Linked DNA regions of Pelodiscus sinensis. The protein of the gene in region 1 purifies or fractionates together with the protein of each later gene. This does not show direct contact. Links are inferred from orthologs where the notes say so. Each region holds a gene or a part of one and is shown in the gene's direction. Other genes may lie near its edges. The genes, in order: BACH1, MAFF, MAFG and MAFK.

Region 1 (7,627 bases):
TTCCGGAAAAGACTACTGGGCTGTCTACACTGGCCCTTTTCCGGAACAGTGTTCCGGAATAAGGACTTATGCCCGAGTGGGAGCAGAATAGTTTTTCCGGAATAGCGGCTGATTTTGTACAGTAGAGCATCATTGCTTTTCCGGAAATTCAAGGGCCAGTGTAGACAGCTCGCAGCTTATTCCGGAAAAGCGGCTGATTTTTCGGAATAAGTGGCCCAGTGTAGACACAGCCATTGGGTAATTGAGTAGTGACTTGACTAGTCACTCCTCCACCGCTGCCTCTGTCAGAGAGGCACAGCAAGTGTGTGGGGGATGAGGGGAGGGGATCAGGAGCCAGTGATGGGGGGGAACTGGCTTAAAAGCCATCTCGATGGGGCAGGGGAGGCAGAGGCATAGTGGGAGACTGGGTGCAAAGCAGGAATCAGTTGATTCCCGGCTTACTCCTGGTCCCCCCTGCTGAGCATCTGCCTTTTAAATGCGTTAAGAGCCTGGCAGTTCTTAATACATCTAAAAGGCAGAGCCATAGCGGAGTTTCCCCCCTTATCGACTAATTGAGTAGTAAATGGAAATTCCATTGACTACTCGATTAGCTGACTACCCACAATTTAACATCCCTAATTCAAAGTATAACAAAATTAATGAGTCTTGGTTCTAATTCTTAACAATGGAGACCTGAGGTTATATGCTTCATTACATACGTGCCATTGTACATTTAATAAATGTCATTTTTAATTTTTCACTCAGGTTCAAGAAGCAAGATACCATGGCCATCATTTTAGGTGGTGAACAAGGGTAAAAGCTTTTAATCTGAAAACAGACTTGAAGTAATGAGGAACTTTAATGACCCAGACATCTGTCTGAACAGCATGCCAGAAACCAAATTGTTCAATAAGTTCTTGGACCGTACTGTGGACCACTCTGTTTTAGAAAGTAGAGACAGTAACCAGGGGGACAGCCATTTAAGAGTTTGTGCTGAGTAGAGAAGAATTGACTGTAAGTTTTAAGGTGGTAGACAATCTGGGTGAAAATCATCATGAAATAATAGTTTTCTTGAGTATAAGGAAAGGTGGAAGTCAGAGCAGAGGAATAAGGGCAATTGACTTAGTACACTTTTACAAATTCAGAGAACTGTTATGTAAAGTACGTTGGAAAGAAAATCTAACAGATAAAGCAAGTTCAGGAGACCGGACAGTTTCTCAAGGAGACAACAGTAAAGACACAACTACAAATTATCCCAATTTAAAGAAACATAGGAATAGGAAGAGGTCAATATAACTATTAGGAGCCCTTTAAAATAAAAAAAAAATTCTACAAAATGCGGGAACATGGACAAATTGCTAAGCAGGGGTGCAAAAGAATAGCACAAGCACATAGAGTTACAAAATTTACAGAACAAAATGAATTACACCTACCAAGAAACATAAGTTCTTTAATTATATTAGAAGCAAGAGAGAGTGAGAGAAAAATATGTCTTTTACTTTTCAGGGAAGGAGCGCTAATAACTGTGGACATAAAGGCTGAAGTTTTCACTAAGAAGATTAATGATGATCAGATATTTAACACAATTAATATGAACAAAGGGGGAGGGGAAAGGAAGCCAAAATAAGGAAAGAACAGGTTAAAGAATATGTACGTAAGCTAGATGTACTGAAGTTAATATGGTACTGAAATTCATCCTAGAGTAGTTAAGGAACTAGCTGAACCATTAATTATCTTGGAGAATTCTTGGAGGACAGGTGAGGTTCCAGAGACCAGCAGAAGGATAAACTTATACCAATCATTAAAAAGGGGAACAAGAAGATCCTGGGAGCACTCACCTCACTTCAATATCTGGGACGATATAGGAGCAATTAAAATTAAACAATTTGAAAGCAACCAAATGATAACAGCATTATAAGTTACACCCCGCAGAAAGCGCTTTCACTAAGACATGTGGCACAGTCCCATATAACGTTTTATAAGCAAACTAGGGAAACACAATGTAAATTTAATTATTATAAAAGGGGTGCACTAGTTGAAAGACAATCACACGATTAGTTGATAAAGGGAGCCACTCTGCAGAGCCACAGTGGGGATAGTTCCCAGCTCACACCTGCTCCAGAAATGCTCAGTCCCAGCTTGCACCAAGTCTAGCAGCCCCTCTTCGTGGCAGCCTGAGTTGGCCGCAGGCAGGGGCTGCTGCTGGAACGGCCTCTGCCCATGGCCAGCCCAGACCCCTGTGGACAGGGCCTGCCCTGAAACAGTCTCAGCTTGCTGCAAGCAGATAGAGATAGGCTGATAGAGGCGGGGAAAGCAGCACTACAGAGACAGTGCTGAAGGGAAACCAGCTTTTAAGCGGACTTCCCCCCAGCACCAGCTCCTATTCTCCCCCTTGCTGCCTCTCATAAAGAAGCAGCAGTGGGGGAAGGGGGAGAGGAGAAGGAGGAGGGAGAGAGGGAGTAGTCAGGTACTCAGCTACTCGCTTACATCCCTATTTGGTATTATTATGAATGACTCAGATAACATTAATAGGAAACCCACTTTTAAAAGTTGATGATGACACCAAACTAGGAGAGATTGCACATACTTTGGAAGATAGGATTGGAATTCAAAGTAATCTTGATAAAATGGAAAGTCAGTCTAAACAGATTAAATTCAATAAAGACAAGTGCAAATTATTTCACTCATGATGGAAAAAAAATGCTCAACTGCAAGATACAGAATAACTAGTAGAGATGCTGAACGGAATATAGGAATAATAGTGGAACACAAATTGAGCCCACAGTATGTTGCAGTTGTGAAAAAAAGCATTCTGGGATGTATTAACGGAAGTGTTGTGTATTTAAGCCAAGGAATGTTACTGTCCAATTGTAACAGTGTGATTCACCAGCACAGTGCCTCCTGTTGGACACTCTGGGAATTAGGTTTTTAGCTCTGGAGCACTTCCTTTCAGCAGGTGTCATTCTTCCTATGAGCTCTGCCACTCTGTTAGGACTCACACTCTTCCAAGACTATGGTACCCTTTCCCCTTGGTACTCTCCTGCTGCAGTGCCTCCACACTCTGTGGTCTTCCCTTTCTAGGAACCCTTAACTCCCTATGTCCCCCCCCTTGCCTCAGAGACTCACTGCCAATCTCCATCTAGCCCCTGCCAGAGGGATAGACTGCAGTCTGAAATGACCACTCATCATAGGCAAGAGAGTGTGGACCTACTACCTTTGCCTACCCTGGCTGCCCCCCTGCAGAGGTAGTACTTGCCTAGGAGAGCTTCCCCAGCACTGCTCTAAGTTAGGAAGCCTCTAGCTTCCCTGGTAGCTAGGTCCCTTCTGCTCTACAGCTGGAGCAAGAGTGAATCCAAACCTCTCCTTTCCCTCCAGGAGCCTTTATTTATTTATACTTCCTTGAGATGGGCCCTAATTGGCTAATTCCTGCCAAAAGCTGCTGGCTCCACAGATCCACTGCTCCAGCCCTCTCCCAGGCTGGGTTTTAACCCTTAAAGGGCCAGTGTGGGGGCAAATGCCCCATCACACCCACTCTACTTGACACTGGTGAGGCCTCAGTTGGAGTTCTGTGATTAATTCTGGGTGCCACACAATGAAAAATGTAGACAAATTGGAGAGTTCGTAGGAGTCCAACAAAAATGAGGTTTAGAAAAACCTAACCTACGAGGAAGGATTAAAAGAACTTGGCATGTATTCTAGAAGAAGACTGAGGAAGGACCTCATAATAATTTTCAAATACAGCAAGAGCAATTATAAAGAGGACATTGATCAACTGTTCTCCCTGTTCACTAAAGGCAGGCTTAATCTGCAAGAGAGATTTAGGCTAGACAGCAGAAAAAAAATTCAAATCATAAGGGTGGTAAGCTCCGAAAGAGGCTTCCAAAAGAGGTTGTGGAAGTCTCATCACTGGAGAGTTTTAAGAACAGGTTAGACAAACACCTGTCAGGAACAGTCTAAGTTTATTCGGTCCTGTTTTGATACAGGGTGCTGAAGTTGATGAGCACTCATGGTCCTGTCCAGCCCTATGTTTCTGTAATTTCAACACATTTTTATTTCCTCAAAACTGCTGCAAGGTTTGGAGTTATTTGTTCCACTGTGGCAGAAAACCAAATTTCAAAAGTTTCCTTGCAATGGCATCGTTGCCTTCCTTAGCTCGAGTGCTTGGGGCTGGAGTCGCTCTGCTTCCTCTAAAGCTCGGGAATCCAGCCCACAACACTGACCAGCTAACATTGTGCAATGAGCATCTTCACAGGCTTCCCAACACAGCTACCTCACGTGAGAAAAGGGGCAAGCCTGGGAAACCCTAGCCAGGTAACAAGCCCCTGCGGATGGTTGGGAGTCTACATGCGGGTGAGCAGGGGCTGTGCACAGGCGGCCATGAGGCCTTGCATGGGGCCTTGGCTTTAGCGTGCGGTGCTAAACCCCGGATTCACACAGCGCGCGCCACCATGCCCCGGAGCGAGGAGCAGAACGTTCCAAAGCCCAACGGCCACGCTCGCGCCCCCCGGGGGCCACGCTAACAGCTCCGCGGCGGAAAGAAAGCGACGGCGCTGAGCCTGACGCGCACGCGCGCTGTAGTCAACGTTGGCGTCAGAGCGTCGACCGGGCCGGCAGCGTCCAATCAGCGGGCAGGAAGTGAGGGGTCGGGGCAGGGGGAGGAGGACTGTTGTTACGGGTCAGCTGATTCCTTCCCGTCGCCGCAGTTCGGGGCAGCTGAGCCCTGCCTGGGCCTGGGGAGGACGCGCCTGTCCCGCTGGCGGAAGGTGAAGCGGGGAGCGCAGCTGTTGGCGCCGCGGGGCTCTTCTGTGGCCGGTTCGGGGTCAGAACCCGCCTGGGGCTGTGGGACCCGCGCCGCCGCTGGAGGGGAGCTCGGCGAGCGGGGCCGTGTCTGCTCCCTTCCCCCGGCACCTGGGCCGAGGTGGGCAGCTGTCCGGGCGCCACGGGCCCTGAGCGCTGGCTCTGCCCTGGCTGCCCCCGCGCCGTTCCTGGTGAGCCGGGCGAAAGGAGCAGGGCTGCCCTCGGACCCGCGTTGGGACAGGTACGTAGCAGCTGCCGCCTCCGCGCCCGCGTGGCTTTGCGTTGGCAGGTTTTTCCATGAAGTCCGGCGCTCTCCGGAACCGGGCACTTCACTATTCATCGTTTCCCTGCTGCGTGTCCGCCGGCCAGTGTGCTTAGGGCTCACCCCACGCCTCCCCCGCCCCGGAAAATCGCCCTCCTCCTTTCAGACAAAGGAGCCCCTCAGTCTTACTAATTTGGTTTTAATGGTTTGGTTTGGATGAATCTCCTAATTGTGAGCATTACGGCGTCTCTCATCAATTGTAGAAGTCCAGCCGATTTCAATTTAGACTTTTCCGGGAAGATGTGCTTTTAGTCTGTACTGTGAGAAGCCTCGCATGTGACGGGCATTGGAAAATCAAATTGAAAATGACAATTACGGAGAGGTTGTCACCAATTTAATAGTTAAACTAGCAGTGAGAGGACCTGAATTGGCATTTTTAACACCATAATACTGCAGTAATTTCAAATTCATACAGACCTGCATCTTGCTAAGTGCTAATTATTTTTAATCAGTTGTGAGCAGTTATACAGTTCCAAAACATTACAGGATAAAAGACAAAATAGTTTGACACACCGTGTAGATCTCTGGGTGAAAAGAGAAAGCATGGCAGTATTGTTATACATAGCTACAACCCAAGGGAGCATGCCTAAAAACTATGGCTCCACAGTTAAAGAGTATGTCTATGAAAATCCAGGGAATGGTACAGTCCTCAGGGCCCCAGCAGGAACATCTACAGTGTTGTTTTTAGCCCTGCAAGGTGAGCCACAGAGCCCAAGTCATTGACCTGAGTGTTGCAACTTAGCACTATGGGTTTCTTTCCGTCATACATATACTCTGCAACCAATTCTGCTCCCCTGAAGGCTGAAGTACTGTAGTTGTCTGTTCTTTAAACTCAGAATCACATGACATAGCTGAAAATAAATATGAGTTTGAACTAAGTGTGCTGAGAGAATGTGGACATATATTTTCATGCTTTTGTGGGTTTGTCAATCTGTAAGTAATTGTACTGAATTAATTGAGACTACTCATGTGCATGAGTATCTGCAAGATTGAGGGCCTAATTTATGAATGGTTTGATGCTAAACAATTTCAAGTGTTTCATAATGGGAATTTTTAGGCACTGTTAACTTTTTTTATGCTAAAATCATCTGAAATTGTTTATGGCTGTTGATGTCAGCATGTGTTGTTATTGCCCTTCTCATTTGCTGTTGTTGGAATCACCCGGGGGGGGGGGGGGGGGGGGAGATCCTGCTTTCACATTTTATTACCCTAATATGACCATCACCATTGTGTGTAGTGTGAATGCAGTTTTTCATACATGATTTATAGGAGCAAGTCTCGAGTGCTCTTTTTTCAAAATTAGTGAAATTATAATCTGGAGAAAAATAGATCAAGTAGGCATAATTCTTCTTTCATGTTAAATATGTTCAGAAAATGTATGCACATATGAATCCCCTACACACATCTGAGCACCCTGCACCAACTTTTCCAAGTGTTTGGTATGGCCAGACCTCTTAGTTCTTTTTTCAGATTATTTTTTGTTAAATTCTGTAGCTGTTGTGAGGATACGTCTACACAGCAGTGTTATTTCAGAATGACTGACATTATTCTGAAATAACATAGTGCACATCTACATTACAAGCCTCTATTTCGAAATACTGTTAAGCTGGAGGACTTCTTACTCCAATTCATGGTAACCGTCATTTCATGAGGAGTAAGGGAGGTCAAAGGAAGAGTGTTTATTCTTTTGACTTCCTACAGTGTAGACAGCACCAAAAGCTGAATTAAGCTGTTTTGACTTAAGCTATGCAGTTAACATAGCTGAAGTTACATAGCTTAATTTGACTTTAGCCCTACTGTGTAAATGCACCCTGATTATGGAAAGAATCTCTTTTTTTGGTTCTTTATTTGCTGCCTAGTTACTTGCAGGTATTGACCACACATGATTCCCTTCACTCAGGTGCAGTGATGCTTTTAACTTGAGTTGATTGGCCCTAGAGGGGAGGGTAGCCCAGGGTTTATTTACAAAGTTGCTTTATTGCTCTGTAACTTTCTTGCTCAGGGGTGTAAAAAACATTCTTCTCTCCTCTCTCTTCCCGCCAGCTAGCAAGTTACAGTGCTGTCAAGTGCAGTGTAAACACACTCACAGTACTGTTAGCTACTCCCTTTGTGGCAGTGGTTTTATCTAGAGCCCATTGGTGCTGCATTTAAAACTTCAATGGTGACAACTTGTTGGCTGAATATGAGTTAGCATACCCCTTTTCCTGGGGAGTGCACAGCCAAAACTTGTCAGCTATTAGTTTTCATCCACTCTATTGAATGTGTTAGTGCTGATAGTCCTCCAGTACCTTCCTTATTTACTACCCTGCTCCCAGATATTACCAACGAGGAAGAATTCATAGTGCCCTGTTTACTGAAACAATAAAGCCATGCGATGTACCTCCAGAAAAACTAGTGCCACATAAATGAGTGCACTGCCTGTGTGGCTATAACTGTAATATTGTTTTACATGACCAATCGCTGGAGCAAGGCCAAAGCCTCATTTTTTCTAGAATAAGGCTTGTTCTTAACTTGCATTATGTAACACGA
Region 2 (7,457 bases), about 89 Mb from region 1:
CACGAAACCAAGCGGCTGGTGAGCAGAGCTCGCTGCCACTTGGTGAGCCCTGCCTAGAACCATTGATGGCCCTAACCTCCTTCAATTTATCTAACTCTTTTTTGAACCCTGTTAAAAGTCCTGGCCTTCACAACAACCTCTGGCAAGGAGTTCCACAGGTTGACCGTGCGCTGTGTGAAGAAATATGTCCATTTGTTTGTTTGAAACCTGCTACCTATTAAGGGAAAGAAGGAAACACAGGAAGCATATGCACAAGATAAACAACGGGTCTTTTATCTCCACCCATCCAATGAAAAGATACAGGAAGTGAACCATACGCAAAAAGAGGAACAGAGAACCCGATAAACACTAAACACACATACACACCAAAGAGGAAAGCAAGCACCAAGCTGCAGCTCTTCTGTTCCTTTATTACGAGCTGACTTCCCTCTAGTCTCTGTCATTCCAGGAAGGCGCGTGGCGGTTTCGCTGTCCCCCAGACCTCCAGGGGCCTGGCTGCAATTGGAAACCTTGTGTCCAGGCCCTGCACAGCAGCTGAGCCATCCTTCCTGCTGAGGCTGGAAATTCCCTCCTAGCAGGGCCCCAGGCCCCCGCCTCTGCCCCAGCCAGAGCAAGGGCAGCACTTTGTTCCTGAGCCCCTGGCAGGGAGGGGACCCAAGCAGGCGCTGTGGCGCAGTGTCATTGGCAGGGGTGGGGAGCTGCCCACCTGGCAACGGGGGGGGGGGGGAGGCTGAGCCCAGCTCGTTGCCTAGCAGCGCTGCGCACCCTCCCCAGCTGGGTTGAGGGGAACGCGCCCCCGCCGGCTCAGCCAATGGGCCTCGAACCCAGACTTCCCACGTGCCAGAGCTCGTGGGGCTGCCACCCACCTCGAGCCCCCACAATCCTTAGCGGGCGGCTCAAACCCGTGCCCCTCCTCCCAGACTCGCTCCAGCTCCTGAGTCACTCACCTTCCGCTCACGGCTGCCAGCCGTCCCCACAAAGGACGGCGTCGTCACATGACCCCACTCTTCGCCAACCACAGCGCGCGTTCCTTCACTCTCCCGCCTCGCGCCGCTCCCTGGCCAATCACAGGTGCCGTCCCATGTGGGCGAGGGAGTGGGCCTGTGCGGGGGCCCGGATGATTTTTCCTTTTGAACGCCCAGTCGGAGTAGTGTAGTTCCGGCGGCGGCCATGTTTGAGCGAGGGCGGAAGTAAGGGCAAAGGACGGCGGTAGCATGACAGCCATCTTTGTGAGGGGCAAAAGACCCGCCCGCATTAAAGAGACAGTGACCTGAAAACGTTCCCCCATTTCTACGAAGCCGGAGCCTGGATTCTCCCGTTCAGTAGATTCTGCGCGAGGCAGTCTCTGTGGCGAGGGGCCAAGAGCCATTGCACGGCTCTGCAGAGCGCCCCAGCCCTGCAGCCAGGCTCCTGCTTGGGGCGAGGCGGGAAAGGGCCATTAACTCTGCCTGGGAAGTTTTGCAAATCTGCTCTTCTTCCCCTCCACACAGGTTCCCTGCGGGGTAAAACACGTGTCAGGAAATGTTTCCACCCTAAAACCCCCAGAACATGAAAACCAAACCGGATCTTTCCACTGCATGTCAACCACAGTGGAAGTCCTGAGCCCAACGCCCCTACCCACCCAAAAAGGCTTTAAAATAGTGAGGACCTGGCGGAGGATGTCAGGGCCCAAAAGATCACAGCCCATACAACTTCACGCAATTACCCCTGTGCTGAGCCTAGGAAGAGGTGTTGGACTACTGTATATCTTCCAGACAGGCATCCAGTCTTGATATGGAGATGACAAGAGATGAAGAGCTCTAGCCATTGTGTAACAACATGATGCTCTGGCCGAAAGTAAATAAGATGCTATTATGCTGCCAACTCTCATGATTTTGTCACAAGTCTCATGATAGATAATGCTTTCCTTAATGTCTGAAGATCATGAGTCAAGTGAATGTGTGATGATTTCAGCCTCCATTCTTAAATAAATAGTAAATTTATAGCCTTCAAAACTATGGAGAAAGCTTCAAAAAGTGCTCCCAGTGTCCCTTAAACTTTAGGTCCTAAAGGCTCAAAAAGCAGAAGGAAAATAAAAAGAACACAAAATCTATTATTTTACATAATCTTATTATTTTAAAGCCACTCTCAAGGCTTTTTGATGAGCCTGTCTCATGATTATTGAACATTTGGAGTGGGCAAAACTGGGCCCATGAAATACAGAACTATCCTAAAATGATTGGAAGGATGGCAAATTTAGTCCCTCTTTTTTTCTCAAGGACTGGCACCTGCATAAATGCAAATGCTATGCCCTGTGGCACAGAAATCACTAGCTATGTAACAGGGATGTCAAATCCCATTCAACCAATTAAAGGGGCTGGTCCCGTGAGGAAGTGTCCTACCCACTGGGGTCAGGCTAGAGCAGCCCTCACTGCAGGCAGGGACTGCTCCAGCCCAGCTGCTCCCGGCTCGCCACAGGGGCTGCCGCTGCAGCTCTCAACCCTCCCACGGGGGCTACCGCTGTGGCTCCTGGCAGTCCTGTGCGAGGGGCCTGGCAGGACTGGGCCACGAGTGGATGGATGCTCCCAGATACCATTAAGAGTGATGCTCACTAGATAACCATTTAACTGTGTACCCATTAACATCCCTACTAAGTAACTCATATGACTGAGTTTCTCGAAGAGATGATAGGAGGCGCTAACTTTTTTTTTTTTAAATCCCACTATATTACAGTGCAGTACTGGTCTAACACTTCAGTAACATCAATGCCATTACTGCAGGTTAATTTTATAAAGGAGAGTAAAACTAAACTATGATGTTCTGATGGCTGACACTAGCCAGGAATCACCCCCGTTACAGTTCCTTTCTTTCTGTATTCCTCCATGCAGAACTAAATGCTGTGCTAAAATGTTTATCTCCTCCCAATTACAAGACCCTAAATAATGCAAGGAGATTCCTTCATTTTTCTCTGACCTTGAAGGCAGCAGGCCAGATACTGGAAAATTGCAACTGCTCGGTGCATTCAGGAGAGTTGTGTGACCAGATAATCTTAGTATCCTATGATTGGTACTCTAAATGATAAAGGTACATCGTATGTTACAGACAGTAAAAAAACTCCTTTTTATAGATAATCTTAGACATGTCATTCCTATATGATGCGTCTCACCACACACAACATATTGATATAACCATTCCATAAGAGGACAGGTGAAACCTTCCACTATTTAAAAATACTTACTTCAAAAAAAAACCAACCCGCCACTGCTTCCTCTTTCTCCCCATTTTTACATATACAGTACTTATCCAACATTTTAAAAGAAACTATGTAAAATCCATTCCTAATCATGAGTGCTTTGAAGTCCTCAGAGCAGTGCTGTCCTCATCCATACATATGTGGAATATGCAGTTGTGTAGGGCACCTTAAAATTTGGGGCACCACTGGGTCTTAATGTCCTCCCATCCACCTCTTCTCATCCCCATTCTGTGGCTCTGCTTTCTCCAGAGACCATCTAGTTAACTTAAAAGTAAAAAAGCCTGCCAGACTTATTAGCAGAATATTGAACCTGGGAAAGAGCCATTCAAGTGGTAATGAAGCCATTTAACAGGCATTTGCCAACTGGAGGTATGTACTATCAGTTTCTGAATTTACTGTGTTAAGTCTACAAGGACTTTCGTTTAAAATTTGCTTTAAAATATTTAATTAGTGTGTTGCTGAAGACTATAAAATCACATCTCTAAAATATTGCCCCCCACCAGCTGCCATCAGGTATAGAAGTACCAGTTTAACAGTACTGCATAGGGCCCCATACGTACTAAGGAGGGCCCTGCTTCAGATGCAAGGCATTATTAAGAACACAAAAATAATACTCTCCACTGCTACAATGCCTTCTACCCAAGGAAATCAATGCACTTTGCAGAGAGAGTTAATTTAGCCTTACAAGAAGTCTGGGTGACAAGGGAATGGTCGATATCCCCAGGTCACCAAGGGGAAACATGCGATACTAAATGATTTTCCTAAGTGAGACAAGGTGAGTGAGGTAATGCTCTTAAGTTTTGCCTTTTTTGTTGTGGACTTTCCATTTTGGATGATAGATTTTGATATCTTCCGTTGTTGGATGCAGTGCAGTTGTAGCTCTGTTGATCCCGGGATATTAGAGACAAAGCCGGGGAGGTAATATTGCCCAGGTGACAAACTCAGGACTACAACCTACACCCTCCATTTCCCAGTGCCGTGCAAAACAATAAAATCATCTCTCACTATAAAAGTACACAACATTACTAATTATAAAGGGCAGCAGTCAGAATGGTTATTACTATGTACAAGGAGAACAAACATGCATGGTGGCCCTTTAAGATTGATGCCCAGCACCAAGATGGCAGCTTCCTCTTGTTTCGAATGCCTGTGCTGTGCCCTTCCCTAAGATGGAGAAAGAGGGAGGGGAAACAATGATGTCATCGCATGACTGTGTTTTTATGAATGAAAAGAATCCTGTGAGTGAGTAATTCCAGGAAACTCATATTACAACTCAGCAGATCTCAGCCCAGAGTCCAGCTCCTCTCCAAACAACAACTTCAAACAAGGAGACTAAACCGAAACCATTAGGGAAAAGGATCTCTAAAGGGATAAAGAAGGGAGAAGAGCAACAACAAAGACTCAAAGCAATGAACACAGCACAGTAAGTGAGAAGTCTCTGTTCAGCTGTCTCCCACCCCTCCTTAGGAGAGATGTTTACAGACTTCAGAGAGCTCGGGGTGGTGTGTTTATGTCGCTGGCTGTGTATGTGTGTGTTTCACCAGTGTGAGCTTTTTGTTTTTCTTGTGCCCTCCCTAACCAGAGAAGGATAAAACGCCTGAATGATACAGCTCTGTGGTGCTTTTATTTTAGGACTGCGTGTGTCCAGCTAGAAGGAGGGTTGATGTCAGCTGAAATGAAGATGGGCGAGAGTGTGTCTGGCAAAAGACATGGTTGTCTGGACTTAAGTTCTGGACATAAGGGGTGTATCTTCAGAGAAGCATGTGGGGAGAAGAGCAATGCAGAGGATCAAAGTGTTCAAAAGCACAGAGTGTCTCCGTGAGTGTGCATTCATGTCTGTTTTTCACACACCCATTGCTGAGCTTAGACAGCTGTGCGGGCAGGAAATCTCTCAATAACAGAGAAGTTACTCATGGTGCAAATTAACGATGCGTGGGGCATGTATATATGTGAGTGAAAGAGAGGTACAGCTGAGGCCCTGATCCATTGAGACTCCTCCAGCACATTTAATAATCCTAGAGATGTTAGACCAATCCTGAGAAAATCTAGGATTACCCTCTGCCTCGGATTTTTCAGGATGGTCCCTTTTTAAGATAGTTGTCCTGGGAAATATGTAAGGGTGCTTAGTACACACTGCGTGCTGCTTAGTTTTATAGGCTCAGGATCATCCCAGATACCCAATTTTTGGTACCTCAAAGGTGGCAATCATAGCCAAATCCCATCCAGGGTAAACTACAAAGACTCCATCTTGTGTTCTCTGCTTCATCTTGAGCTCCCATTAGCTTCAGTGGTAGTATTAGCTATGTGACAGTTGCAAAATTGAGCCCCTAAATTCCTTTTGAGGTTTTGGTTGGATAAATATTCTTTTTTCTTTACTTTCTGTCCTTAATTTTTGTGTAGTACTTCTGTGCACTGTTGAGCAGCTGCTGTGTTTCAGCCCAGAAGTGATTGCATTTTAGTGGCAGGCAAAGTGATCCCTATGTAAACTGCATAGCTTGGGAATGAATTTACAAAGTACTTAGTTCTAGGGAAAAATGTGCTAAATACAGTGATAAATATTTGCCAGCAGATGCCATGGAAATATCAGACTTATTTCTTATTCTGAGGGCATGGGGGAAGGTGTGACACTGGTATACATACCAACATATGAGGATTTGTGGGCAAATGTTGAATTTTTAATGACTACCACTGAGTATTAAGTATCGGTCATATTTGTGAAAATATGTTTACTGTTTCTTTAAATCTGTAGCCGAAAGCCAGGCAGGAAGGGCAGGGGAAAGTTGGAGACAGAAGTTCTATAGGAAACTAGAGAAAATAGCTTAGGGTTAATACTTTCTTCATGTTCAGTGTTTAGAATTAAGCGACTCATTATCACATGACAACTATTATATCAGATCCCACACAAATTTTCAGAGGTAAGGTTGCTAGGCTGTGACTCCTGCTAAAGCAAGCCATAAAAAGAAAGGAAAGCAACAGTTGTGGAGACAGTCAGTGTCCTCCCACTAATGCAACACTCATCTGTTCCTCTTCTGACCCTCAGATAATCCTTTTACCACCCCTAGGTCATACACTAGTATCTCCACCAAAGTTCCCTGTAAAATGAGTGATTGGCTGGACACCCAGGAGAGATTCAGGTGCTGCTCTGCTGATTTACCAGAGCACCCACAGTTGGCAGCATGTGTTTCTATTGGTAGTGCACATCTGCACATGCCTCAGTTCATATACCAAAATTTAATCTGCACATGGATGGAAAAAATTAGAGGGAACATTGATTCCATCTTCCTTCAGTGCTTGGGATGCTGCTTAGCACCCAACATTGCTGGGATCTGCCTCTGCTGATTATCCCTCTGCCCAAACACTGAGGATATGTCTACATTAGGCAGCTTTTAGGCAGGAGAGTGTTCCCATTTGCACTTGCCATGGCAAAAATTTTGTTGTGTGTGGTAGGGATGTAAGAGACTAATCAACTATCCAATAAACAGAAGTTTATCAGATAGTTGACTAGTGATATAACTAGTTACTTCACCCGTCCCCTTGTTGCCTCAGTCAGAGAGAGACAGCGGCAGGGGGAACAGGAGCCAGTGCTGGGGGGCTGGCTTAAAAACCAGTTTCCCCCAGCACCAAGTCTGCGGGGGACAGGGGAGATAGAGGAACAGTGGAAACAGCGCAAGCGGGGACTGAAGTTGTCTCTGCTTGCACCACTTCTTCTGTGATTCTGCTTTTGAAATGCACAAGAGCCCCAGCAGGGCTCTTGTCCATTTCAAAAGCAGAAGCCCTGGGGGATTCCCTGCTGATCCCCTTCCCTGGGGGGGGAGGGGGGATTCCTTTTGAAATGTACAAGAGCCCCACCCAGACTCTTGGACATTTCAAAGGCTGAGGCACCCACCGGCAGGGCTCTTGCTACGGTTCAAAGGCGGAGATGCCCCTATAGACTTACTGAATAATTGATGGAAATCCCATCGACTATTCAATTAGTGAATTAATCTAAATTTAACATCCCTAGTGTGTGTGTGGGCAGGGGGGTGGGGGAGGGAGAAGGGGCATTGTATCAGCTGTGAACAACAAAAGCTTTGTTGATCAAATGCAAGTGTAGACATAGTCTGGTTGAAGATTTCTCCAGGCAGATGCCTCTCTTCAGGGAGAGCTACTCCCCACCCTTCAAAACCTGGTGCAGAGTGAGAGGAAAAGGTCCAGTTTTCCTTTCCTTGGACTGCCGAATGATAAT
Region 3 (7,851 bases), on another chromosome or scaffold:
GGATCGCTAATGGGACACCCATTGTTTAAAAAGCCTGCTCCAATAGGCTTTGCAATCACAGGCTGGTAAACCTAATATCAGTACCAGTTGGATTGCTGAAATTTAAAGAAAAACAAAACCTCCAGAATTATCAGACACATAGATGAACATGCTATGATGAGGAAGAGTCAATACAACTTTTCTAAAAGGAAATCAGACCTCACCAATCTATTAGAACTCTAGGAGGGGTTCAACAAATATGTAGACAAGGCAGATCCAGTGGATGAAGTACAGGCAGTCCCCGGGTTACGTACAAGATAGGGACTGTAGGTTTGTTCTTAAGTTGAATCTGTATGTAAGTTGGAACTGGCGTCCAGATTCAGCCGCTGCTGAAACTGACCAGCGGCTGACTACAGGAAGCCCGAGGCAGAGTTGCTCTGCCCCGGGCTTCCTGGAATCAGCCGCTGATCAGTTTCAACAGACTGAATCTGGACGCCAGTTCCGACTTACATACAGATTCAACTTAAGAACCCCAGGAGTCCCCAAGTCAGCTGCTGCTGAAACTGATCAGCGGCTGATTCCAGGAAGCCCAGGGCAGAGCAACTCTGCCTCTGGCTTCCTGTAGTCAGCGCTGGTCAGTTTCAGCAGCGGCTGACTTGGGGACACCTGGGGCAGAGCAGCTGGGGTGCTGCCGGGTTGGTCCAGTAGCGCCCAGAGCAGCACTGCGGGACCAACCGGCAGTGTCCCAGCTGCTCTGCCCCAGGCGTCCTGATTCAGCCGCTGCTGGGGAATCAGGATGCCTGGGGCAGAGCAACTGGGGTGCTGCTGGGTTGGTCCAGTAGTGCCTAGAGCAGCACTGCGGGACCAACCAGCAGCGCCCCAGCTGCTCTACCACAGGCGTCTGGAGAAAAGCCTGGTCTGCTGGGGGTGGGGGGTGCACTAGCTGCGCCCACCCCCCAGCAGACCAGGAAGACGCGGGCAGCGGACCGAGATGCACCGTGGTCCCGCCGTCCGGGTCCTCCGTGGCTTTGCTCCGTGTCTCCCTGGTCTGCTGGAGACCAGCAGACCAGGGAGACGGGGAGTAAAGCCTTGGAGGACGCTGGCAGCGGGACAGCCACCAGCAGACCAGGGAGACGTGGAGCAGCTTTTCTCGCCCTGGAGGACGCGGGCGGCGGGACCGTGGCGCATCTGGGCATCCCGCCACTTCCATCCTCCAGGGCGAGAAAAACATAAGTCGGATCCGCGTAACTCGGGGACTGCATGTATACCTAGACTTTCAGAAAGCCTTTGACATGGTCCCACATCAAAGGCTCTTAAGGAAACTAAGCAGTCATGGGATAAGAGGGAACATGCTTATGGATCAGTAACTGGTTACAAGGTAGAGAACAATGGTCAGTTTTCAGAATGGAGAAACTAGTGGTGTCTCCCAGGATGGGGCCCAATCTTAGTCAACATATTCATAAATTATCTGCAAAAAAAGATAAATAGTGATCTGGCAAAATATGCAGTTAAGACAAAAACTTCTTGAGATAGTTCAGTTCAAAGCTGACTGGGAAGTCTTACAAAGGAGTTTCACTGTACTGGATGATTGGGCAACCAGATAGCAGAGGACATTAATTGTTGATAAGTACGAAGTAATGCACATTGGAAAATATAATCCCAAAGAGAATACGTACAATATGACAGTCTAAATTAACTGGAGCCATTCAAGAAAGAGATCTTGAAGTCATTGTGGATAGTTCTCGGAAAAAACATCTTCTCAGTGTACAACAGTGGTCAAAAGAAAGCCAACACAATATTAGGAAATATTACAAAAGGGAAATATAATAAGATACAAAATATCTTTTGTATACAAGAACAAGGAGCAATGGTCTCAAGTTACAGTGGGGGAGATCTAGGTTCTTCTTCACACAGCGTGTTGTCAACCTGTGGAACTCCTTGCCAGAGGAGGCTGTGAAGGCTAGGACTATAATAGAGTTTAAAGAGAAGCTGGATAAATTCATGGAGGTTAGGTCCATAAAAGGCTATTAGCCAGGGGATAAAATGATGTCCTTGGCCTCTGTTTGTCAGAGGCTGGAGAGGGATGGCAGGAGACAAATCGCTTGATCATTGTCTTCGGTCCACCCTCTCTGGGGCACCTGGTGTTGGCCACTGTCGGTAGACAGGATACTGGGCTAGATGGACCTTTGGTCTGACCCAGTACGGCCGGTCTTATGTTCTTATGTTGTATAGTAGGAAAAACTATTTCCCTGGGAGGAGAGTGAAGCACTGGAATGGGTTCCCTAGGGAGGGGGTAGAATCTCCATCCGTAACTGTTTTAAGTCCCGACTTGACAAAGTCCTGGCTGGGCTGATTTAGTTGGGTTGGTCCTGCTTTGGGCAGGGGGCTGGACTCGATGGCCTCCTGAGGTCTCTTCCAGCCCTAGGATTCTATAATCACATGGTCTCTAAATAAATCCATGGTGCACCATACAGATGTGCATTAGATACAATAGAACTGGCAAAGGTTCAGAAAAGGGCAACACAATTTATTCGGGCTTTGGAATAGCTTCCATATGAGAAGCAATTAATAAGACTGGGACTAATCGGGTGGGAAAAGAGATGACTGGAAGGGACATGATAATGTATAAAATCATGACAGGTGTGGAGAACATAACTAAAGTGCTTATTTGCTCCTTCACAAAACACAAGAAACAAGGATCACACAACAAAAAGTATTTAACGCAAGACAACTTGTGGAACTTGTTGCTGGGAATGTTGCAAATGGCAAAATAATAACAGTCTTTCAAAAGGAATTAGGTAAGTTCACAGATACATTAGAAACCAGGAGAATGTGGGCGAGGTCCATGGGTGGCTATTAACAACGGTAGCCAGGGATACAAGCCTATGTTTCAGGTGTCCCTAACCTCTGCTGCCAAAAGCTGGAAGTGCATGACAGGCAAGGATTACTCTGCTCACCCCCCTCACGCACCTGGCACTGGTCACTGTCCATAGCCCGGCTGCTGGCCCACGCTCGCCTGGTTTCTTCGCTGACCATTCTTATTACCTGTCCACCTTGAACATACACTCTTCAGCCTTAGTTCATCTTTGGGGTTTCTTCCATGTGCCTCTGTCTACATTCTGCTTGCCTGCCATTCTCCTTAGGACAGTATTTCCTGCCAGCTCTATCTTCTTCTCCTTCAGCTCTATCAGACCCAGGCGAAGACAAACACGCAGAACATGCACTTTTCCTTTCACTTTGCACATTGCACAATACACTTGCCACCTTTTTTGCTGCAGCACAGGGGGCTCTTCTACATTCTCTAGGTCTGGCTATCATGTCACTAAGTGTACAATGCAGATCTTTCCTTCTAGCTTGGTGTCTCTCCTGCAACTTCAGTCAAGATTTCTTCTTCCGACTTCTGCACGTGTGCAATGCAGTGTTCTTTGTCAACAAGTGCAGTCCTGTGGCACCTTAGAGCAGGGCCGGCTCGAGCCATTCCTGTGCCCTGGGCAGCAGGCGTACGATGCATGTGCAGCTCCATCCCCGGGCACATGGCACATGCACAGCCCTGCCCCCCGGCACGCTGCGCACCTTACAGCAGCAATTGGGCTCGCGGAGCCTGATGGCAGCTTTAAGGGGCACGGCCTCTGGCCCTGGGTGTGTGGTGCCCCCCATAGGTTAGTGCCCTGGGCAGCTGCCCAGCTAGCTCCCCCCCTTAATCCGGCCCTGCCTTAGAGACTAACAAATGTATCAGACCACAAGCTGGGTGGGACAAAACCCACTTCATCTGGTGAGTTGGAGTGGAAATAGCAGAATCCAGAATACAGTAATTACTTGTTTAACATGTGCCCGCTTAACTCGTTTTCGCAATAGCACGATTTTTTTGGGGACCTTTTTTCAAATAACATGACCGTCCCCGAAATAACACAAAAATAATCAAGTAGCAGACTACTTCACGCAGCAATATAAGTTGGTGAAAACAGTGGTAATATGCAGGGCTCGCCAGCCGTGTGGTTCTGCACTCTGCGCATGCGCAGATCACTCTGCACTGGCTCTTCCGGGTTGTAATCTACTCGCCATGGGTGAGTAGATTACATTATTTGTAGCCCTGGTAATATGCTTGAGCAGATGAATACACGTGATCACAGTGCTTCTCCGCTCACTCGTGTTTATCTTTGTGTTTTAACAAACCAGGCGACTTGTGGTGCTAGATACCTAGTGCTGACGTTGCCGACCCAGCACCAACAAAAAATTGACTTTGCCACCACCACCTGAAATGCAACCCCCACCTTTTCCATTCTTTTTAATGGGAAAATTGACTCCATAGCACATTTTTGCTCAGCATGAACATTTTCAGAAACAGTGTTTAGTGTTTAATGAGGAATTACTGTAAGCAGAACCCACCTGTCAAGCGCAGGACCCAAGCTAATGATGCTAATTGGATCATAGAATCATAGGCCTGGAAGGGACCTCGAGAGGCCACTAACCTGTTCTGAAATATCTCCAGAGAGGGAGATTCCACCAGCTCCCGGTGGGGGGGGGTGTGTGACTGAGTCCCCCGTCACGGTGTAACTGCAGCTAGCAAGGCCGGGCCCCCTGGGCTGTGTGTGCTGCCCCCCCCGCTGCAGCTCTGAGCTGGGGGGCAGCGCAGGCCCCGCCTCCCGGCTCCCACCTAAGCCGGGCCCCGCCCCCGGCCCGGACACGCAGCGACCCCGCCCAGCTGCCTCGAGCCGCGTGCCCCCTTATGCGCCACGTGGGGCGGCCCGGCTCAGCTGCTCCCGCGCACGCTGCCCGCAGCACGTGGCCAGGCGAGCCGAGCCCCGCCCCGCCCCCTTCCCTTTAAGGCCCCGCCTGCCCCTTGTCTTTTTTTTACCCCGACACTAATGGCCGCAGCCTCCTTCCCTTTAAGGCTCGGGGCGGTTGCGCCGGGCGCTTCATGAATGGAGCCACGTGACCCAAACATCACGTGACGTGTCCGTGAGCGGCGGCGGGTGGCGGCGGATCTCGGAGTCTCGGTCCCTCCCAGCCCCGGCCCCGGCCGCACCGTGAGGCGGGTGAGCGCGCGGCGGGGCCCGGGCCATGGGGGGGGCAGGGACCCCCCCCCGCCTTTCCGGGGGCCCCCGCTCTGCCCCGGGCCTTGGGGGGGGCAGGGACCCCCCCGCCTTTCCGGGGGCCCCCGCTCTGCCCCGGGCCTTGGGGGGGGCAGGGACCCCCCCGCCTTTCCGGGGGCCCCCGCTCTGCCCCGGGCCTTGGGGGGGCAGGGACCCCCCCGCCTTTCCGGGGGCCCCCGCTCTGCCCCGGGCCTTGGGGGGGGGCAGAGGCCCCCCCGCCTTTCCGGGGGCCCCCGCTCTGCCCCGGGCCTGGGGGGGGCAGGGACCCCCCCGCCTTTCCGGGGACCCCCGCTCTGCCCCGGGCCTGGGGGGGGCAGGGACCCCCCCGCCTTTCCGGGGGCCCCCGCTCTGCCCCGGGCCTGGGGGGGGCAGGGACCCCCCCGCCTTTCCGGGGACCCCCGCTCTGCCCCGGGCCTGGGGGGGGCAGGGACCCCCCGCCTTTCCGGGGGGCGGGGGAGAGCGCCGGGAGCCCCCTCGGGAACGTGGGGGGGGAAGGAGGAGACCGCGGTGGGGAAGAGAGCGGGGCGCCCCCTTCCGTGGAAAACTGGGGGGGGGGAGAGTAGGGAGCCCCCCTTCCGGGGGGGAGCAAGCGGCGAGCCCCCCCTTCCCGGCTCGCTGGGGCGGACGCGTGATGCCTGCTCGCTGCTGTTGCCCCGCGCGATGCGCAGGCAGGTCGGGGGCCGCTGCGGGTCGCGCCGGGCGGGGGGTTCCGAGCTGCCGGTGCCTGCCCCGCGCCCCCCGCCCCGCGCCCCTTGTGCTTGCTGAGCAGACGCTGCTGACTCATCAGCATGAGGTCACCGGGTAGACGGTGCCAAGGGGGCGCTCGGCGGGAGGGAGGGAGGGACTCGTGGACCAGGGGCCGGCGTGTTGGTCGGTCCGTGTCTGCAAATGGATGGGGAGGGCGTCCGAGGCTGACACGCTGACTCATCGCCGAGGGGGGCGGTGTCATGGAGACAGGTCTCCCCTCGTGTGCGGCGCTGCCGGGAGGGGCTGCGGGCAGCAGGGCGAATGGGGGAGTTACAGACCGTAGGTTTGGGGGGTGAGGGGCGTAGAGACGGGCGGCTGTGCTGGGGGGGCATAGTGCGGATTCTGAGCACACTTCCAGGTCAGAACCAGCCCTGGGGCTGGGCTCCTGCTGTGAGACCAGCAGGCTGCTCTGGGTACCTCTCCCATGCTTGTGTGTACTTGGAACACCCTGTGCTCCTCTCCTGCCTCACTAGTGTTCCAGGTGATTCAGCTGCTAGGGCAGTAGTCTTCCCCTAGTCACCCGCAGGGCCCCAGAGCTACATATGCTCCTCATACCCCTAAATACAACTCTTTCAAGGGCTGGTCTGAGGGGGCTAGCATGCCCTTAATGTAAGCATAACGGGGAAAGCTGTGCTACAGATCTACTCAAAGTGCCCAGAAATCAACTAACCCCACCATTGTGGGACACCAGGGAGCCTTGGGTAATAGCCAAAAACTCTGTGTGCAACAAGTGCACCATCTCTCCCTGAGCAAGATTTCTGCTAAGGCTGAATGCTGAGGCCACAAGGCAGAAGAACAAAACAAGTGGGGTCAGGCCTGACACCTCTGGTAGCTATGCCCAGGGTCAGGGGTGCCTTTGCTTTACTAAAGGCCCTTGACCAGCTCTGTCAAGGGTGCATCTGAGTTTTACAATAACAGCCAATAATTGCTACAGAGTAATTTGAAGGATGTTTTGTGATTCTCCAGGACGTCTTGCCAAAGGCTTTAAAAGCACATGGCAGATACTTGCCTACTTCTAGGTGTATGTGCAGTGCCTATAGGAATTCAGGAATGGCCAGACTGGCTCAGGCCAGTGGTCTGTCTAGTCCAGTCTTTGACAGCAACCAGAACCAGTTGCTTTAGAGGAAAGTGTGAGAAATCCTTCAATGACCAGCTGTGGAATAAGTAGCCCACTGTGGTGTGTTCTCCTGCGCCTGACTGTAAGTGTAGACAAGTCCTAACTCCATTTGCGTGATCTTTAAAAACACATTGCCATAGAAACAGAGTTGACACAATGTCAGCCATTGTGTTAAGTTTCCCAGCCCACACACAACTTTTCTAAAGCTCCTACCTATCAAACCGAACCGTATAGTAGTAGCAAGACATTTATTCATAATGTCAGTTAGTACAAAACGTTAATGAATTAAGCTCCCAGCTACCAGGCAAGCAACCTCGCACTGCAGAAGTGGAAACACCCCCAAAGCCACACAGTAAGTGCAGAGCCAAGAGGAGGATTTGGGTGTTTTGCTTCCCAGTCCTGTGTTCAGAATGCTAGGTCACGCTTTCCAGTATCGGGGTGAACCCTCATGTTTGTTGCTTTGAGTGCAGTAGCCCCTAAAATGCACCAGGCACTTCCAAGCCCTGCAGAAGGCCTGTTTCCTGACCTAAACATGCTCAGAGTTTGAGGGAGCGGGGGAAGGGGAGGGAGAGGGAGGGACAGGAAGGGTCCAGATAAGCATGGTCTGTTATTCTGGTGGATGGTTTTATTACATGTATGGCCTCTGCCCCAAGTTATCCTACGTGTTGGGAATTTACTAGAATGTTAGTCTTTGCAGCATGTGCTCTCCCTCTTATCTGGGTGGTCAGCAAAGGTGCAGGCTCCTGCTGGCTCTCCCAGCTCCCCTGGCTGGGGTAGGTGTGTGTGAAGAGCTGCCTGTAGGATTCCTTTGGCTGTGAAGATGTACGCTGCAGGAGGACTCTGCTAGAGCCAACGAACCTGCGGTGTCCCACAGTCTGCTAGCCAGTAATTCCACTGCAATGGTATGGGGCTCTG
Region 4 (7,914 bases), on another chromosome or scaffold:
GCATCCATGTCAGCCAGTGTTCCCTACCAGTCAGAATGCCCTCAGGGGCTGCTGGAAGTCAACAAAATCTAGAGTGGCCATGCTGTGTTGGGAGAGCCACCCAATGATCAATACCCCCATGATGGGGAAGCACAAAGATGACTAACAAATTGTCTTTGAGTCCTTATCTTGAGCTGCAGATGTGCTCTTTAGGCATCCTCCAGGCTCTTGGGTCAGGGTCCATATTGTAGTTTTATAAAGAAGGGTTGTAAATTTGTGAGGTTTGACTGCAAACAGCACTGCATCTGTGTTAGGCAGTAGCTTTATTTTAGCAGCCCTGAAGCTTTAGCCAGCCTAATTCAAAAGGTATGTGATTTGTACAGTCATTGAATACCCAGCAGTGGGAAAGAGAAGACGCTGAGAACCAGCTCCCTGATTTTCTGCCTCAGAAAAGGTTAGAGCAGTCTAGGAATGCTATAACTCGTACTATCCAAATATGGGTTCCAAAGGAACTAGCTAACAGTGGGAATAGCCAGAGCATTGTGCGGTCCAATCAATTCCCTGTCCTGCTCTCAATGTATCCCCTAAAATAGGTTGTGGGGCACAGTTGGAAGAGCTGGATATGCTGATTCAGCACCCGCCAGAGACTCCCTTTATTCCAGAGGACTCTCCCACAGGGAACTTGCAGGTGGCTTCTGCCCCTTTGCACTGCTTGAGTAGCACGAAAGGAGTGGCACAAGGCAAAGCATCTGGCTTAAACTATTGACAGCAGCCCCTTGATCTTTTTTTAAATAATGTTTGGCCCACAGTTTGAAAAGGATTAACATCACTGGCTTAGCAGACATCGTTTCAAAGGCATAGCTACAAGGCCAAGTGCAGAGAGAGTGAAAGGCTGGTTTTAAGACACTCAGCCTTTCATATGTTCTAGTTAACAGTCCACAGTATTTCATCTGCATAGCCTAAAAATAATTAATGTATTACTATTGGGGTTATGTAGGTTGAGCATATTGTTGATATTAGGTTCCGTGAGATGGTGTTGCCACATCTCAGGATTTTACTGAGCTGCAGCTTTAAAGCTCTAGCTCCCTAAGTCACTGACTACATGCGACTCTTGGTTTTTTAAAATGAAAGCTGTTTCTAGCCCTCATGGTTATAGAGCAAATCTTCACAGGAATCCTGAAGGCTCAAAAAGCAGAAGCAAATCAAAAGAACCTGACATTTATGATATACTAGTAGAAGACTTACCCGGCATTGCTTGGGTTCTTCAGGGCAGGGGGCTGGCAGTGTGGGGGGACTCAGGGAAGAGCCTTGGAGTTGTAGGGAGGGTAGGGCAAGAGGCTGGGGTATGGGAGTCAGGGTGGGGGATTGAGGGGAGACTCAGGGCTAGGGATGTAAAATCCTGTTTAATTGGTTAAGTGGTTAAACATTAAACTGATTAAAGGAACCCAAAAAGGAATTGTGTGGCGGTTGCAAGGTTATTACTACCCTTACTTCGGCACAGCTGCTGGCAGCAACACTGCCTTCAGAGATGGGCAGCTGGAGAGCAATGGCTGCTGGTCAGGAATCCAGCACTGAAGGCAGAGCTACCACAGAGCTGGGCCCTTAACAGCTACCACTCTCTGGTCAGAACTATTCTCATCCTTACTTCCGCACTGCTGTTGGCAGGTTGTTGCCTTCAGAGCTGGGTACATGGCTAATATTACAACCACCACTCTGCAGCTGCCCAGCTCTGAAGGCAGTGCAGAATTAAGGGTGGCAAAACCCTGATCCTTCTAAAATAACCCTGCAAGCCCTCCCCTCCATCTGTCCCACCTTTGGATCAGGACCACGCCCCCCCATTTGAGAAACACTGGTCTCCCCTGTGAAACCTGTAGGCTGTGTCTAGACTGGCCAGTTTTTCCAGAAAATCAGCCGCTTTTCCAGAAAAACTTCGCAGCTGTCTACACTGGCCGCTTGAATTTCCGCAAAAGCACTGACTTCCTACTGTAATAAATCAGTGCTTTTTGCGGAAATATTATGCTGCTCCCATTCAGGCAAAAATTCTTTTGTGCAAAACTTTTGCGCAAAAGGGCCAGTGTAGACAGCCCAGATTTGTTTCCCGCAAAAAAGCCCCGATCGCGAAAATGGCGATCGGGGCTTTTTTGCGGAAAAGTGTGTCTAGATTGGTCATGGACGCTTTTCCGCAAAAAGTGCTTTTGCGGAAAAGCGTCCGTGCCTATCTAGATGCTCTTTTCTGAAAATGCTTTCAACGGAAAACTTTTCCGTTAAAATCATTTCTGGAAAATCATGCCAGTCTAGACGTAGCCGTACAGTATAGGGTAAAAGCACACAAAAGTCCAGATTTCACAATCTGTTACACATTTTGCATGGCTGTGAATTTGGTAGGGTCCTACTCATAAGAGAATGGGGCTTAAGTTTTCTAAGCACTGTGTAGAGATCTCATTTTCTCTTATCAGATTCCAACCTGATACATAGTCAGGCTTGGCAGAATTCAGTTTAAAAATAATTTCAACTGATATCTATATTTAAAAATATTTGTGTTAGCTTAAATTTTCACAGGAACACAAAAGTGTGGGTTTCATGCTTTTTTCAAATTTTATCAATTTAAATTTTCTTAATTGTGGGAAGTTTGAGCAGGATCAAAATTATTTAATGATAGTGAGCACTGAAACTCAAAACATTAAAGATGTAAAGCTTTATAACAGTTAAAATGCACATTATTAAAATGGCATTTCAAACAAATATCCTTAACTCAAAGTTCTCAAGCAGCATTTTTCCTGCTTTGCTTACCTGTACATTTCAATTACTGATGGATTTTTGTCTGTATTTTGATTATATTGATGTTTACCAACAATTACTGATAAAAAAATAAAACCCTTCCAAACCCAAATATAGTGTTTTATGGTAATTAGATACTAGTATTCTCCTCTTGTGGACTTTGGTATTACATAAAAGTCACACTGAAACTCAAGGAAGAAGCACTTTGAAATCAATATGACTGAGAAAAAATTGAAACTGAAAGCCATTTTCTACTCCATTGCCAAAATTAAGGAGAAAGACTACATCACAAGATATCAGAAATAACATATTAAAAAAAGCAAGGAAGAAAAATTGCTTAATTCTAGAAGAGGTGAAAGATTATTTATTATTTGCCTAGGTGCTTGGTGCTGTACACGATACCAAAATAAAGACAATCTGTACCTTCTGGACCTGACACACATATAGAAGACAAAACAAAAAACAGGACTATGTAGCACTTCAAAGACTAACAAGATGGTTTATTAGGTGATGAGCTTTCGTGGGCCAGACCCACTTCCTCAGATCAAATTGTGGAAGAAAATAGGCATGACCACATATACCAAAGGGATACAATCAAAAAAAGTGAACACATATAAAAAGGACAAATCAAATTTCAGAACAGAGGGCGGATGGGGGGGGGGGGAGGTAAATGTATGTGAGCTAATGATATTAGAGGTGATAATTGGGGAAACTATCTTTGTAATGGGTAAGATAATTAGTGTCTTTATTAAGTGTCAAATTTAAGCATGAATGACAGTTCAGAGGTTTCCCTTTCAAGTCTGGTGTTAAAATGTCTTTGAAGCCCATGGCGAGTAGATTACAAGCTGACACAGCCACGCAGCACGGTCTGCGCATGCGCAGCGTGCCGAACTACGCGGCTGGTGAGCGGGGCTCGTCGTCGTTTGGCGAGCCCTGTATATGGTCATGTCTATTTTCTTCCACAATTTGATTTGAGGAAGTGGGTCTGGCCCACGAAAGCTCATCACCTAATAAACCATCTTGTTAGTCTTTAAAGTGCTACATAGTCCTGTTTTTTGTTTCAGCTAGACTAGACTAACACGGCAACATCTCTATTACTATTATAGATGACAAAAGGCACTGAAAAGCCCAGATGGGAATAATTTAAAGGCAACCCCCTTATCCATAGTGAAAGTAACTCACTTATTAGTATTGCGGAAGAAGAGATTATGAAAGCAACTTTACAACATGTGACCATCAGCCATTACTTCAGAAATTAACAGTGCTCCTAAATAGTCTACAGAGGCTTAACACTAGGGCTGTCCTTAGGCATATGCAGAATACACAGCTGCATAGGGCACCATTAAATTTGGGCAATTTAATGGTGCCCTAGGCCACTGGTGGCTGCATAAGCCTCGGGTCACTGAAGCTGGGATGGGACAGCAAGGCATGGACAGTGCCAGCTGTGGTGGCCAGCCCCATCCCCCGGTCCTTCTGCAGGATGCGCCCAGCCACTGCTCCCCCACTCCACCTCACTGGAGCCTAAAGCAGGGCCAAGTTTCCAGAAGCAAGGAAACTGGACAGGGTGGCAGAGCCCTGGGTGGCAGGTGGGCCCCAGGAGCAGAGCCAGTGGTAGCTGGGAACCCACAATGTGGGGGTGCTGCAGCACCCCACAGTTCCCACACCTGCCTCCTTGCTGTGGCCAGGGGCCCCCAGACAAACACACACTTTGCCCTCTCTCGCGGACAGGCGCGACCCATCCTGGGGGCTTTGAAGCTCGGGGCACAAGCCTGAGCTAAAAACCAGCTGGCGCTCAGGCTGTGGCACCGACTCGTTCCCTCCCGTGGCCGAAGGGCCAAACCACGGGAGAGCGAACCACGCCCGGCCAGCGTGCGCGCTGCACTTGCGCTGCTCCTCCGCCCGGCGCTCCCGGCAGGGAAGCGGGGTCTGGGCACAGGGATGGCAGCTCCCGGACTCCGCTGTCAGGAGCCCAGCTGGAGCAGCGGGCAAGCCCCACACTCCGGCGGGAGCAGGGCTGGCCCCGCCCCCTGTCCGCTCTCCATGAATGAAGAGGGTGGGCGTGGCGCGGGGTGACGCGCCACGAAGAGTGGGCGGGGCCAGGTGACGCGAGGCGTGACGCGCGATCCCGGAAGCGGCCCGGCCCCTGGTTGGTCGGCGCCCGGGCGGGAGGAGAGAAGGGGGGGGGGCCGAGCTTGTTGTTGTTCCCGCGACTCGCGCGCACACACACACACACACACAGAGAGATGCTGAGAGGCGCGTCCCCGCCACCATTCCCTCGCGCCGCGCGCGGCCCCGCCGCTACCGCCACCTCCCCCCGCCGCGCGCTCCCGACAGGCCCAGGTAAGACGCAGCCGCCCCCGGGGTGCGGCAGCCGGGGCGACTGGGCAGGGGCCGCGCGGAGCCCCCGGGCCGGGAAGGGCCGGGCTGCCGCGTGGGGGCGGGGGGGCACCTTGCAGCCCGGGCCGGGAAATTTGCTGAGTCACCATCGTGTGGGACACGTGGTGTCCGCCCCGTCCCAGACCCGGGCTGATGCCGCGGCCGGTCCCGCGCTCGGGGGAGGGGGCCGCTCACACACGTGGCTGCCCCAGCCGGGGGCCCCACCACGCGCTCGGCGCCGGCGGGCGGGGCGAGGCGCAGGTGGGGGGAGCCGCGGCCAGTGGGGGCGGGAGCGGCGTGGGGCAGGCGCCCGCCTGGCTCCGGGCAGGAATTGGGGGGCTGACGGGGAGAAGCGCTGGGGGGGGCTGCCCCACATCCCGAGGGCAGGGATCTTCACACTTTTATCCCCCCTGATGACCCAGTTGATGAAAATTGTTGAGACTCCTGACCCATCATAAGAGTGTGGGGCCCGGGGTGGGGCTGAGGATGAGAGCTTGTTTTGGGGGTGGGGCAGGAGGGGCTTACTTGAAGCGGTGCAGCAGCAGCGGTGCTAAACAGGCTTCCTGCCACTCATGGCACCACAGACCCGGCTGCGCCCCAGACACATCCAGCAGCAGGTTCCCAGCCAATGGAAGTGCGGAGCTAGTGCTCAGAGCAGGGGCAGCGCATGGAGCCCTGTGCACTCTCCTCCCCCACTCACGTAGGAGCTGGACCTGCTGCTGGTGGCTTCTGGGGTACGTTACAGTTTGTGTTGTCAAGACATGCAGGTAGGTGCCTTAGCACCCCTATTGATCACCCTGTAGCAAGGAGACCTGTGTCTGATGTTCCATGACCCAGTACTGGGTTGCGCCCCATAGTTTGAAAATCACTGTCTTAGGAGTAGGTGATCAGAAGAGAAGGCTAGAGGTGAAGCTGGGTGGCAGTGGAGGGGGTACAAGGAGCACTGTGGATTTTAGGGTCAAGTAAAAGAATGTGGATGGGGAGAAGAGCGCAGAAGTATATAGGATTAGTATTTTCCCGGTGGGAATGTCTATGGGGTGCTGGAGTAGGAAATCTGAGCAGGGAAGAGAGGAGAGGTAAATGGAAAGATTGGGAGGATTTGGGGACCATTTTGTTTCAGGCAAGATGAATAGCAGAGTCTGGAATGGTGTTTTAATTGAGGAGTATGTGCCTGGCAAAAAGTGCGTTGGGACAGGAGGCTAGGTAGGTGGAGAGAAGGACAGGGCATTAAGGAGAGAAGAGAGGGATGGTGGTTGGGACTGAGGCTATTTCTATACTGTACAGGCAATCCCCGGGTTACGTACAAGATAGGGACTGTAGGTTTGTTCTTAAGTTGACTTTGTATGTAAGTCGGAACTGGTACATATTGTAGGGGAAACTCTAGCCAAACATTTCTCCAGAGCTCAGTTTTATTCTCCCGCACCTCACTTCCCTCAGTCCTTTATTCTCAAGCTGAGGTGTCTGCTGAGAAAAGCCGCTCCGCGTCTCCCTGGTCTGCTGGGGGGAAGCAGCTAGTGCAGGGTTGCCTCACCCCGTTTGTAAGTAGGGATCCGATGTAAGTCGGATCCATGTAACCTGGGGACTGCTTGTAGTTTTGTTGTTACAACTTCTGTCACTTGAGTTTGGAAAAAATACCCTTGTGGATGACAAAAGTTGTGGACACTAGTGGGAAAGCTTCTCCCTCTGATACAGCTGTTGCCCCTTGTTGGGGGAGGTTTTATTTTGTCCTCATGAGAGCTCTCTGTGATGATAGAATGGCTACACTGCATGTCTTATGACTGATAACTGAAGGGAGTTAATGTTTGGGCTAGAAGCACTGCATCCACTGTAGTGTTAACAAGCTGTATGATTCAGCAAAGCAACTCTACAGGTAAATCCTTCAGCATTTTGATAGTGCTGATGGTGTAACATCTGAGCTGTGGTGCTCTCTCTTAATTTAACATTCGTGCATAGTTCATCTCTCAGTGATTTTCTTTTGCCTCTCCTTGCAATCCCTGTCACCAACCATTCAAATGACATGCAGAGGAATCTATGCATGCATGTTGATTGCACACAGCAAATACCTGAAAAAGGACAACTGCTAGAATTTAAATACTGCTGCAAACTCTACTACTTACAGTATTAAAGGGAATTGCAATTTCCTAGATTTTTTTTGTAATTCTTTGGATTGTGTGGTCCATGACAAATGGACACATCTTCATATGATCTCCTGAGGTGTTGAAACCCACATGTTGCTTAGTCACCTGCTCCACATGGTCACCCATGAGACTGAAAGATCCTCCTGGTTAAGCTGTGGTCTCGGTAACTAACAGAAGATGCCATGCATTTTGAATCCGAATGGCCAGAAGTTCTTGCTACAGACACTGGCATGTTTTCTATACTGTTAAGGCCAAAAGCTAGTGGAGGAGGGGGACACTGAACCCACATCTTAATGGTGGTTTTCCTGAGCTTGTGCCATAGGACAAGCAATTAAGATTGTGTCTAGTTCTGAATGGTTCTAGCAAAGCTGTGCCCTGGGACTGACTTTGAAAAATAAAGAGGGCCTTGAAAATTCTGGATAAAAATCGGTATGGGTCCACAGTTGAGTGGAACACTGAGGATCTGCAAATGCTGAAAAGCAGGTAACTACCACTGTCAGTTTGCATCTCAGTGGCGTTTATCCTCCCTAGAAAATACCTTTTTGCTTAGAAAAGAGTTGTTCTGGGTTAACAATAACGTTCTGTGCTGATGTGGAAAAGACAGGTTCAGTTTCCTGGCCCACTCCTACTAGACTGGCTGAGA

The links.
Region 2: the proteins of BACH1 (region 1) and MAFF purify together in Homo sapiens (affinity purification with mass spectrometry; 3 studies listed by BioGRID and IntAct, counting the BioPlex papers as one, with this or other methods). This does not show direct contact. The link is inferred for Pelodiscus sinensis from reciprocal best matches to the Homo sapiens genes BACH1 and MAFF.
Region 3: the proteins of BACH1 (region 1) and MAFG purify together in Homo sapiens (affinity purification with mass spectrometry; 5 studies listed by BioGRID and IntAct, counting the BioPlex papers as one, with this or other methods). This does not show direct contact. The link is inferred for Pelodiscus sinensis from reciprocal best matches to the Homo sapiens genes BACH1 and MAFG.
Region 4: the proteins of BACH1 (region 1) and MAFK purify together in Homo sapiens (affinity purification with mass spectrometry; 6 studies listed by BioGRID and IntAct, counting the BioPlex papers as one, with this or other methods). This does not show direct contact. The link is inferred for Pelodiscus sinensis from reciprocal best matches to the Homo sapiens genes BACH1 and MAFK.

Annotation. Positions count from the first base shown.
Region 1 is NC_134711.1:181,342,071-181,349,697, forward strand, and holds the start of BACH1 (transcription regulator protein BACH1), read left to right. Parts: upstream 1-4,626; 5' UTR 4,627-5,017; intron 5,018-7,627. UniProt on the Homo sapiens protein: Transcriptional regulator that acts as a repressor or activator, depending on the context. Binds to NF-E2 DNA binding sites. Plays important roles in coordinating transcription activation and repression by MAFK.
Region 2 is NC_134711.1:91,967,582-91,975,038, reverse strand, and holds the start of MAFF (transcription factor MafF), read left to right. Parts: upstream 1-4,455; 5' UTR 4,456-4,641; coding exon 4,642-4,655; intron 4,656-4,864; coding exon 4,865-5,050; intron 5,051-7,457. UniProt on the Homo sapiens protein: Since they lack a putative transactivation domain, the small Mafs behave as transcriptional repressors when they dimerize among themselves.
Region 3 is NC_134730.1:29,834,672-29,842,522, reverse strand, and holds the start of MAFG (transcription factor MafG), read left to right. Parts: upstream 1-4,848; 5' UTR 4,849-5,015; intron 5,016-7,851. UniProt on the Homo sapiens protein: Since they lack a putative transactivation domain, the small Mafs behave as transcriptional repressors when they dimerize among themselves.
Region 4 is NC_134726.1:27,391,225-27,399,138, forward strand, and holds the start of MAFK (transcription factor MafK), read left to right. Parts: upstream 1-4,912; 5' UTR 4,913-5,000; coding exon 5,001-5,097; intron 5,098-5,372; exon of another isoform or gene 5,373-5,394; intron 5,395-5,658; exon of another isoform or gene 5,659-5,776; intron 5,777-6,165; exon of another isoform or gene 6,166-7,914. UniProt on the Homo sapiens protein: Since they lack a putative transactivation domain, the small Mafs behave as transcriptional repressors when they dimerize among themselves.